Drosophila melanogaster: one gene and its partner. Changing the gene in region 1 together with any one later gene gives a genetic interaction. Each region holds a gene or a part of one and is shown in the gene's direction. Other genes may lie near its edges. The genes, in order: caup and dap.

Evidence for each region.
Region 2: of caup (region 1) and dap, changing one enhances a phenotype caused by changing the other (phenotypic enhancement), as found in Drosophila melanogaster (one study listed by BioGRID).

Annotation. Positions count from the first base shown.
Region 1 is NT_037436.4:12,607,675-12,612,915, forward strand, and holds the start of caup (caupolican), read left to right. Parts: upstream 1-1,956; 5' UTR 1,957-3,094; coding exon 3,095-3,145; intron 3,146-5,241. UniProt on the Drosophila melanogaster protein: Controls proneural and vein forming genes. Positive transcriptional controller of ac-sc (achaete-scute). May act as an activator that interacts with the transcriptional complex assembled on the ac and sc promoters and participates in transcription initiation.
Region 2 is NT_033778.4:9,710,541-9,717,059, forward strand, and holds dap (dacapo), read left to right. Parts: upstream 1-1,780; 5' UTR 1,781-2,399; coding exon 2,400-2,563; intron 2,564-2,622; coding exon 2,623-3,023; intron 3,024-4,370; coding exon 4,371-4,543; 3' UTR 4,544-5,716; downstream 5,717-6,519. Other genes in the region: sqa (spaghetti-squash activator), read right to left, coding at 5,979-6,519.

The DNA of each region.
Region 1 (5,241 bases):
TAAATATAAATTATATATAGATTATTTGAAATGTTCATCTTGTGTATCTTCAAAATATCGAAACTTAAAAAATTACACGAGTATAGTCCTGCTTATTTGATGATTCAGAAATTGTTTTAATATATGATTACTTTACATAACGTTTTGGTATGATTGGATTGCATTTATGTTGTTTTCAATTGAAGAATAACTATTTGCAACTTTTAAACCAATCACAATTTGGCTCTTTAGAAATTCAATTTTTAAAAGCATACATTTTAAATTTCATGGATGAATTCTTTATTCTCAAATGCATTTCTTTCATGTGAATCCTTTCGTATTCCAGATCCCCAGACTCATGAAGTGGGTGTAGAATTTCGTGGCGCCGCCAAGAGCGTCCAGAAATTGAGTACCGATCAGGAGTTTGGGCATTCGGACACTTTTCCCAAAAATACCCGGTGCATTTTCATTTTCCTATGCAAATGACACATTGCTACACACACATTTACATATGCGTTCGTTTGTAAGTACCGAAAAAAGTGCCACATGTGCGTCTCTTTTGACTTTGAGATGCACTCGCATTTATAATAAATGGCAGCGCGTTAACACCCCAAAACATCAAAATACTCATTTTACAAAAATTCCCCAAAAACGTTCAGTTCCCCTCCCCACCCCGCCCGCTCCACATACCATTAATTAGAACGCACTCGACTCGAGGACCCTCAAATGGACCGGCCACGCCCCCTTCCTTGGATCGAATGGAATCGGATTGTTTGTTTGTTTTTTCTCCTATTTCGGTATCTTGTTACGATTAGCTAGTCCCAATTAGCTGCGATTTTCGTGATTTGGCCTTGAGATATTGGAGCATTAAGCACTTTTATGGGAAATGTACAATGCATATATCAAGCTATTTTTAAAAAAACACACACACACTGTAATGATTAAATGTTGTTGATGTTACCAATAACGTACGGATTAGTTTTCTTAAATAAAATTAGATTTTGGCTTTATATACTTGCAGACCTTCTAAAATAATTTAATTTGATTACTTTTTAGATTTTCCAAGTCCTTACACCACCCAAAATTTAAATGCACATTAAAATATCAAACTTTTTGTTTATTGGGAGCCAAGATAGAAAAGCAAATATGTTTATTAAAATATAAAAACATGCTTATATTTGTTTGCTGTATGTTATTTTTTGTAGTTTGATGTGACATAGATTATATTTATTTCAGCTGGGCTTATAAAAAAGGTTTTATGTTTTTGTTATTTTAATATTGAAAATTCTCTTTTAAAATTTCAAAGAATAATTGGAAGCGGATCAAATAAAACACTAAACTACTCAATATTAAAGAGATTGTATACCCACTCGTCTTGAAAAACATATCTTTATATGCCTGCAAATTTTCTTAAACATTATATTTAATTAATTAAATTAATGTTTGATTTTTTGAGATTGTAGAAAAATGTTCCAATTCTTCCCACGAATGTATGCCCAGACGTATTTTGACCAGTTATTATGATAGCAAATCTTCAGCAACTCTTTTCTAGTTTTTCCAATTATTTCTGTATTGTACTTTTTTATCAAAATCGGAAAATTCTTAGCCAACTTTGGCTACAATATCCAATTGGGAAGCCTTTCGATCGTGGTCCGCCATGAAATCGCTTCCAACGTCGACAGAGAGGGGTCGGCAGAAAGAGAGCGTCGACTTACTTTCCAGTGCTTGGAGGTGGGCGTTCTCAACGAACAAAGCAACAACAGCCCCAGAGAGTCTACCCTTCTCACTCGTTACCAGACCACTCACAGACGTGCAAGCGAGAAGGCTGCTGCTCGTGGCTGCCAGTCTGATTGGAACGCTGGCCAATGGGAGAGCTCCTAACTGGCTGGCTCTCTCGCGGCCCTGCAGCCATCCCGTTTACATCGCTGCTGCCATCTCTGTCACACGCAACCGCGCTGCTCGCTGAGCGGCCGAAAAACAGTTTGTTCCGAAACGCGAATAGGTGCGCATCTTCGCATCTTGGCATCTCCGCCGCGTCGCCCAGTAAACTCGAAAAAAGGCCGAAACGAAAGTACCGACGAACGAGTTACAGTCACCGGATAAGTCACAGTCGGTTATTGAGTCGCAGTCACTGCCGTCGTCACCGTGGAGATACCGCTGACAGGTTGGAACGGAACCCGTTTTTACTGGAGCATTGCCAGCGGATCGGATCGGCAGATGCAACCGACGTAGATAATGAAGTGCGTGCAATAGTTATGATAAAAGTAAATACGAAAAAAAGGGACCCGAAAAGACAGGCAAACCTCTCTAGAAATGTCTCGTTAAATATCAAAAGAAACTCGCCATAAATTCGAAACTATGTTTATTATTATGGATCACATATCAAAAAGTTTCCTAAGCTGACTTTAAAAAATTTCGATACAGTGTGGAAAAAACTGAAATACCAATCAGTGGGTAAACTCGCAAACCAAACTGACACATTCTTTTGACCGAAGACTGAAGAGCCGCGTACATTTGTAAATCTGTTTGCGGCAAACACTTGAATCCAATTTGCTTTGCCCGGCTGTCGTCTGTGTGTGTCTTTTTTTAACCATTTTGGTAACCGGCCGCCAAAGAGTCAAACAGAGTCAATAAAAATCAAGTTAAAACGGATGAAAACGGACGAGCGAAATAAAACAGCAAAGTCACACAAAACAAACAAAACATTTTCCGGCTCCGGCGACATTAACAGAACTGCTCGACATCGACAATTTGTTTTATCAATTTTCAACAAGGCCAGCCAGCAGCAGCAACAACAACAATAGCACAACACCCAACAAGCCAGCAAACAACAAAAGCGCCCAGAGTGCTTAGCCGTCGAGCACGCACGCCAAATCCGCCCAGCCACCCAACCCAACCACCCACTGGCCACCCACTTGAACCTCCCTTAAGCACCCAACACCATCCCCACATCCTTGGCCACCCCTTTTTCGAGGGCTCCGCCAGCATCCGCATCCGCAATCGCAAAAAAAAATAAGAAAACAACAAGCAAACAACGAGGGACGCCCCACAGTGAAGCCCCGGCACAGTGAACTCGCGTGTCGCCGCTCTTTAGGCCAACTCAGCCAGCGAGACAATGGCTGCATATGCGCAGTTTGGATACGCTGGCTACCCGACGGCAAATCAGGTGGGTTTATGCCGGTGGTTTGTTTAGAGATTAACAGTTAACCGTTTTTTTTAAGTCTGTATTGATTAGTAAGCAAACTTAACTTAAGTTTTAAACGGTTATTTAGCACAGACAACAATTTTAAGGAATCTTTTAGTATGGATCCAATATTGTATCTTATATATACATTTATATTTGCTTTGAAAATGTTGCTCCCTTTAGATTTTGTCAATAATATATTCAATTTTAAAAGTAACAAATTCCAAATCAATTAAAAACCTTATCCAAATTTTTTTTTGTAATCTCATAATTTGTGTTCAAACTGAAGGCCATAAATACCATATTATAAAGAGCACTTTGCTTACAATAATTATTGTGAATAGAATCTGAAGATTTATAAATACATTGATTTAAATTGAGTAGAATGCGAAAAACCAGTTGAAAGAGCAAATTTCTGAATTATTGCTACTGGGTGCCTTAAATTTAAATTTAAAACAGATGGCTTAGTCATAACAATTTATATTGGCCATGAAATTAAATTTATTAATTTCGTTATATGTATTTATTATATTTTGATTTACAGCTGTGCCATTTCAATATGCAGCCATAACTTAATCATTTCAAGAGACACTTGAATATACTATTTATTTAGTGCGGACTAAAATAATATTTGGCACACACACAAAAGATGTTTCATAAAACCAGAAACTGAGTCAGTTGAATATTTTGGCATGTGCGAAAAGGGAAATCTTTAATAATGGACGGTGCGAAATAACTTTAAATTTACATATTAAGCCGGCGGGTTTGGGGAGCAGCCACTGCACATGAATATTCAAGCACTTTGGCACCGGTTGGGGCTCCTGGATCCCTATATATATACATACATATATATATAGATATATATATATATATGCGGATATAGCCATAATGGCCGCCCCGCCGCCAAGAAATGTTTCACAATTTAGGACAGCCGTCACCGCCTTGGATGCAAATCGCTGGTAACCGAAGGGGGGGGTCTGGTGGGGCATTCCGGTGGCAGTGCATCGTCCGAGGTCTGGTCATAATTACCCGGTATTCGGAGCTCAGTAATTCAAATTAGTTGGCCCAAACGGGGGGAAGTGAAACACTTGCAGCTACAAAGCCCTTGCAATGCCTGTGTAAGCCATGTTCAACGACTACTATGTGGTCAAATGCGTCAATGCTAGTGCGTTTATCCTGCTGCCAATTTATGTACATTTATATATATACATATGTATATATGTGTGTATGTATACAATATTCCTGACCACGGTGGCTGGCATAAATTTATGCTAATGAAGCCGCCGGCGGAGTGGTGCACCATTTATTATAATATGCAAACTTGGTAAATTACAATAATTAAAATAATGAACGTTCAGATTATCGACTATAATTATGGCTGGAGATGTGCAAAAAGCCTTTTGCCTTGCAATCGATTAAGAGCCAACAGAATTTTGTCATCGTTTTCGGCTCATTTGCATACGTCTACTAAAGCCACTAAAAGCCACTAAATGCGACTAAGCCACCAATGAAAGACTGGTCAGTTGATATGGCATTCGGGTGCCAAATTTATGCAGTGCACACACTCGGGTTCTCATTAATTTAATTTTAATTTCGACGCCAAGACGGCATTCCAAATATAAAAAAAAACGACAATATATAAATTTAATCAACGGCTGACAGTTGGCAGTAGCAAAAGAACTTGCAGGCACATCGCACATCGAATTCTTAACTTCCCATGCGAGCTGTTCACGCATTTCATGGCAAAATAACTAAAATTCTAAGGCAGCAAAAAGTGCGCGACGATGTCGAGTCCTGGATTCACATAGGCTCCATCTGAAGCCCCCCCAAATTCCCCATCTCCATCTCCATTGGGACGCAAAAGGACAAGCCCGTAAATGATGCGAGAAAAAACTAATATTTCGCAGTGTGCATTCCATAATTGATTTATGAATTTTTAATGCAAACATTGAGACCGCAGTTGAGTTGCGAAAGAGTTGTTCCACTGCGAACCATAGTATTCTGCGCCCCAACTTAATTCAATAAGCAAGCCCCACAAAAAACCGAGCAACTTATTCGCATTAGCAAAAACGCACTTT
Region 2 (6,519 bases), on another chromosome or scaffold:
CTGCAATCAAGTGAATACCTTGAGTGCCATCCAATGCCCGCACGTTCCACGACAATCCTTTAGGATCTGCCCTCATAAGCGGGACACTTGAGAACCGCTTTTCCACCTCTTTTCTCAGCCTTTTTTTTTTTTGTTTTTCCGCGTGTGTTGACACAACCCATATAAAGCCAGGATATCCTGCTCGGGAGGAAATTACTTAAAGGGATCACGAACTCTTCCCCTTTCGAAAAACTCCTTCTTGAGTTGTTTATGTTTTCAGGCATGACTGCCGCCGAACGCCAGTAGAATTCTCAAATTTGTTATAAAGTGTGTAAATTCACGTTGCTTTTCTTTTTGAGGGAGGGTGTGTCCCATAAACAGAAAACCGAACCACAAGGGATCGGATCTTATGGGAGTGGAAAGGAACGAATTATGGATGGATGATGATGCTGCCTAATCGAACGTTCGTCAAACGATCTCTGCCTTTTTTGGGGTGATTGCACTCCGTTTTTTCTTGTTTTTTTTTTTCTCGGGTTTTTGTGTGGAAAGCCGATGGGTTTTCCCATTATTTCGTCGAGTGCAAAGGACAAAGCAAATGATGTCTTTAGTCTACGAATCTGACTTCCAAGGCTTTGTCCCAATTCTTTCCTTCTTATTTAATTGGATTTGTTCAAACAATATAAATCTCGTTTTATTGCCTTTGGTAGTGTAATTTAATTTTTTACGATTTTGCACACGAAAGGAAAAAAACTTTATGAAAATGCAGCACGAAATGAGCAGAAAACTTGCGTTTCACAAAGTGAACCATAACGGAAATTTGAAATACCCAGTGCTATGCAAACACCACAAGGAAATTCGAACTAGACGTGCACATTATTTTACATACATACATACATACATCGTACAAATGTATATTTGGTGGACCAGTGCCCCACAATGCAAGCGCGATTTTCCCCTTGGCAACACGAGGAAAGTGAAAAGAATTGGTGCCCCAAATGCCCCCTGCCACTTCCCTCCGACGACTAAAAATCCAGTTTGAGGCCAAACAAACCAAAACCATAACATCGTTTTTTCGTATCTTCCCATCGCAATCGCAACTAAAAGTACAGCTCCACCGATGCAACAACAACCAAGAAGGCAGCGAACAGAACACACGGATGGAAATGGCAGGGATGGGTAGATGGCGTGCGAGAGAGTGGGAGACATATGGTGAGAGAGAGAGAGGTTGTGGAAGTTGTGACGACTTTCTTGATACGCTCTATGAAGGAACCTTGGACAGTTTAAAATATAATTAAATTGGTTATTTCAAAAACATTAAAAATAAAATCTGGTTGAATACTGTTTACAAATGAACTATGGGCTTATGAGCTGTGAATATTATTTGACAGGAAATAATGAAAATAATGATAATAATAATAATAATAATAATAATGAATACGTATTATATATTGTACTATATGATGATTCCAACAATCAATAATTATATTAAAGCTCATAATATCAAAACTTTTAAACTCAGATGCCTTAGTTAAATTTTGTTAGGAAACTTTTATTTTTCTGAGTATTTTTTATACGTTTGCTATATAAGTTTAAAGAACAATTCAAAGGAAGTGCATTGCTCTTTCGATATGATTAACATTAAAAGCGCATTCTTTTTCCCTATCTCTTTCGCTCCTGCTGCTTTTCCGATCTTTTCGAATTCGAGGGTTGCTACAGAGAGAGCGTGAACCGCTCTGAATTTCCAGTTGGCAACGCCTCTGGTGGTTGTTTGACGTTTGCTTTTGCCCAGTGTTTTATTTATCTTTTATTCGTTTCTCCGAGTTCGTCGAGAGAGGTTCGCTTCGATCGGTAGCGCTATATTTAAAAATCTAGTGCGCAGTGCGCTCATAGCCGAAAAGGTTAACAAACATCGCTGTAAAAACGACTTCAAGTTGTAAAGACAAATATAATACAAAGGTGCTGCCATTGGCAGCTAACTCATACAAAAACTCCAACGAGACCCGCAAACGTTTCGTTTTGTGAGTCGACTAGCAGTGCAGTGTGTTCGAATCGCCATTCAAAGATAGTGACCAAGTGCTATTGGACCAAGGCATTTGTTTATAATTATTTTTATAAACAATTGCAGCGTGAAATTTCACTTTTGAACGCAGCAAGACGTAAAATAAGCTGCAGCACAACGCACACACAGAACACTCGCTCTCCCTCTCACATACACACACGCTCGCGTGTGGAGACCGTGATTTGTATTCGTGTGGAGACTGCCTCTCTCTCTTTTGGGGCTGTCTGAACACAAAGTTTTGGCGCCAAAAGTTTGACAGTTCGCTTTGGCGTGTAATTCGCAAACAAGTGGCAAGAAAAGTGCGTCTCAAAACAGAGTAGAAAACACTAGGGGATCCCAAAAAAATATATATTGACTCAACATGGTCAGTGCCCGAGTCCTGAATCCTGTGATGATCAGTGAGTTCTGCAAGATGAGCAGCAGCCCGGCGGTGAGTCGCAATCTGGCATGCGGTCGTCAGTTGAATCGCATAAAGCGTGACCTCTTCGGTAGCTCCAAATCCGCCGAGGGTACAGCCAACAAAACGTGAGTTTCTATAATAACAGTTGGATTTTGACCAATAGCTAACAATATATCCTCTTTAGACCCTTTAATTCCGAACTGGAGCGCCATCAAGAACTGGCCACGCAAAAATGGGGCTTTGACTTCCGCGCCGGCTGCCCTTTAGCTGAAAAATCACCCTACATTTGGGAGCGCGTCAGCTTCCAGGAGTCGAGCTTCGCCCCAGAGATGTACACCCTAACACGGGCCGCCCACGTACGCCCTTCCGCGGATGCAAGTCCTAGCGACATGGACATTTTGGTCAACGAGCGCTCAGAACGGGAGAACTTTGGCTCCAATCTGGTCAATTCCTCGCTAGAGTCGAACACGGATAATGAATCTTGTTACGACTCCCAGGACGAGTCGCTGGCAATGCGGCTTAGCTCCTCCAGCACGACAAGCACATCCTCCATAGTCCTGCGCAAGAGACAGCCAAAAATCACAGGTGAGTTTTGGGGGATGTTCTACACCATTTTGATCAGTAGAGCTTGACGGTTCCCAGGGTCAGGCTTCATTTCACTTCGATAGACGTTACAAAGTGTTTTCCCATAGCTTTCCTTTTATTCCCTGTTTATTTTCGGTTCTCAGGAGGAAGTTGAGGGTGTTTTTTTTTTTTTTTTAACTTATCAGGCTTGTTTTGTAATCGGACTGATACGATATTATTTTTCAAAATTATCTGTAGAGTAGAGAGTATTATCTAAAAATTTCCGAATATAGTGCTCGAGATATAAAAGTAGATTCGTGCTCTTTGTTTTGCAAACTCGATGAAAACGATTTTCATCAATGATTTTATGCCAAACCAATATTTTGTGCAGGATTTTGTACTTACAATACTAAACTCCATAAGGGGTTGTTTGATTGGTTTTAAGTCCACTCCTTCGCATTTATTGTTTATATTCACGTTTTAGTTGTGGGCGTTTTTCGTGAAACTTAGACCCAAATTATAGCAATTAGCCAATGCTTTGTGGGAGATTTATTTTCGTCCAGAAGGGTAAGTCAAAGCTGACTGCAGCTGTTTCAGCTCCTCATCTCCCTAAACCGAATGATTCTCTTCTGATCCTCCACAACGCGGGGGTTGGTTTCCAGATCGATAGCATGCGGGCTGGCTGGCTGCATCTATAAATGCCAACAGCTGTGACTCCGCTTTGTCTATGGCCTGACCTCATTATAGAAAACGGGAGAGGGGTCTGGGGATCGGCTTTCAATGCACCACCATCCAGAGTCCATGGTCTTATCAAACCTCCCTTTGATTGCTTTGTACTGAGCGTTTTTTATAAATGCCACTAGCACATGCATGTGTAATTATAATCATAAAAAAATTGTGTCTGTTCGGAACATAATAAATGCACCCGCATCGGGTGGTCAGTAGGGAAGCCTTTGAATCCCCCAACGCCTCAACTCGCTTTACTTAAAGTGCACTTTTTGCTGCTTTGGCCAGTAAGCTAGAGCTCATAATTTATGCAGTTATGTAGCACCACCACTCTTGCTTTCACCGGACTACCTGAAAACCGGCTAAAGACCGACTGTCTGGCTGCCGTCTGGCATTTATTTGCTACCCCTGTGCGGATCTGCAACCCTCTGGTAGGGAAGTGCTGCCGTCCACGTGCCACAATCTGGGAATCTACCCGAAACCGAAATCAAAATGTGCAAAAACAGAAAAACAGGCGGCGCCTGCTGTTTAGGGATCAGTGACTTGTGAACAGGGGCAACCGGAAATGCAGCAGCTGACTTTGATTTGGCAATTCCACCTAACACGTATTAATAACACTCGTTTTCCTTCCTTTGTTTACAGAATTCATGAAGGAGCGCAAACGTCTGGCCCAGGCACCCAAGAAACTATCGCCCGCAAAGCGCATGCGCACCAGTTCTCCCAGTTCGTCCGCCACTTCCAGCTCCAGCTCCAGCGGTGGATTTGGGTTGGGGGCACACTTTGGGGCGATGTTGAAGCGGCCGCGCCACAACTAATGCTCCAGATTCGCTGGCCAACCCACCGAATTGCAATTTGTAATTTTATTTTTTACAAGCCACTGCGATTGTGTAGTATTTCCTAATTTTTTATTACGAACCTTTTTATGCAGTGCAAGGGCGACAGTTGCGAATATTAATCGTTAGTCTTCAACTACTCGTAACCAGTAATTAGTTGTAAGTCAACCAGTAAGCTCGAGCTAAATGAAACTTTTTAGATTTCTCTAGTGAGAAATGCCATAAACTAAGTGATTAGTTCTTAACAACAAACAACTATTGAACAAGAAGAGAGAGACCGCAAGCTAAATGGAATTAGTCTTAACTATCTTGAAGCCAACCGAAATTTAACCTTTATAACGATGGAATACTAACTTTACATAACTTTGTGAAATCCTTGCAAATTTCGCCGGCAACTTTTGCATTTGAAATTTGCCGGGTGAACAAAACTCATCCTTTCTCTGCCCTGCCACTTCATCCAAGTACTGAAACTGAGGGGAGAGTAGAATTGAGTTTTGTCTTGCATATTAAGGGCGCCAAAACGATGCCCCAATAAGCCGCATTTCGGCTCATTGCTGCTTTGTTTTTGCGACCTACTAACATTGTAACCAATTCGACCAGTGGAAAACAAAAAAAAAAAAGAGGAATGCCTTTGAATTAACTTCGTCAATTTCTGCACGTTTGGATGCCTTATTTATATGAATGCCGCCGAATGGACACAAATTGTCGCGCTCTCATTTCTTAACCAGTGCTAAAAATGTCTTTTATGATTTGCTATGATCTCTGGGCAAATTATGAAAACAATTTTGCCTGAAACTATCATGTACAAAAACTAGATTATTATACATACTATACACATAGGCAGAGCCTATTCTTCATAACACTTATACAAAGCATTAATTTGTAAGGCCTAACTAAGAACAAATCCAAAGTATTCTCCTAATATTTATATGTATAGACACTCTATGTATAATTAAACCATATTCAACTCATACATCAATAAACAAAACAAAAACAACGCGATTGTCCTGTTTCAAAATTACCAACACATCCGCATTACTTTGGTTGTAGACGTAGCAGTAAAATGTAGTTTACTAAAACAATTTTGTACATTTTATAAGTTAATATTTGTTTTTCTGCAATAAATTGTTTTTGATTTTCTAGTTGGTAGTACATAAATCGCGTTTTTAATTTTTAATTTCATTTTTATAAAATATCGTGGGATGCCAACAAAATTCAATCCCGCGTCAATAGAAACGAATCATTGCTTCAGTTTTATTCAATAAATTAATTTGATTTATTGCTTACATCAAGTACATAAATATTAATTTGTTCCATTCGACGCTTTGTAGATTTACCTATGTGCCAATTAGTTGATCTGTACTCTACATACAAATATATATATCGCATATATACAGAGGGCTGTGGATATGGGCACCTACTTGCCCGCCGCCTTCTCCTCCAGCTGGGCTTGAATGTGGCGTACGTTGTGGCCGCCGCCATTGGGGTTGTGGCGCTGGAAGAAGGCGTTGATGGAGCTCATGGAGCGGTACTCCAGATTGTCGCTGACCCGCCAGTCCACGCTGATGCTCTGGTGACGACCCACCGGATTGCGGATGCGGGTCTCGTTGTATTTCTCCAACAAATGCAGCAGGCAATCCTTGGTGGTGTTGGCCGCCTCCTCCAGATTCACGGTTTGATGAGTGTCCGGCAGCCCAACGGGCACATCGCGACTCATCTGATTTATCCTGAACTTGGCTCGACGACTGCTGGCCGATTCGTTGCTGGCGCTGGTGGTAATTGGATTGCTGGCGCCGGTGGAGCTTGGGTTGCTGGCGCTGGTCGAGATTGAGTTGCTGGCGTTGGAGGCTATATAATTGCTGGAGCTGGTGTTACTGCTTCTGGTGCTGCTGGAGATCACCTTGGAAGAGGTGGTGCTGGTTCTTTGTACTTGCTGGTTGGTGAAGCTCCTGGCATTG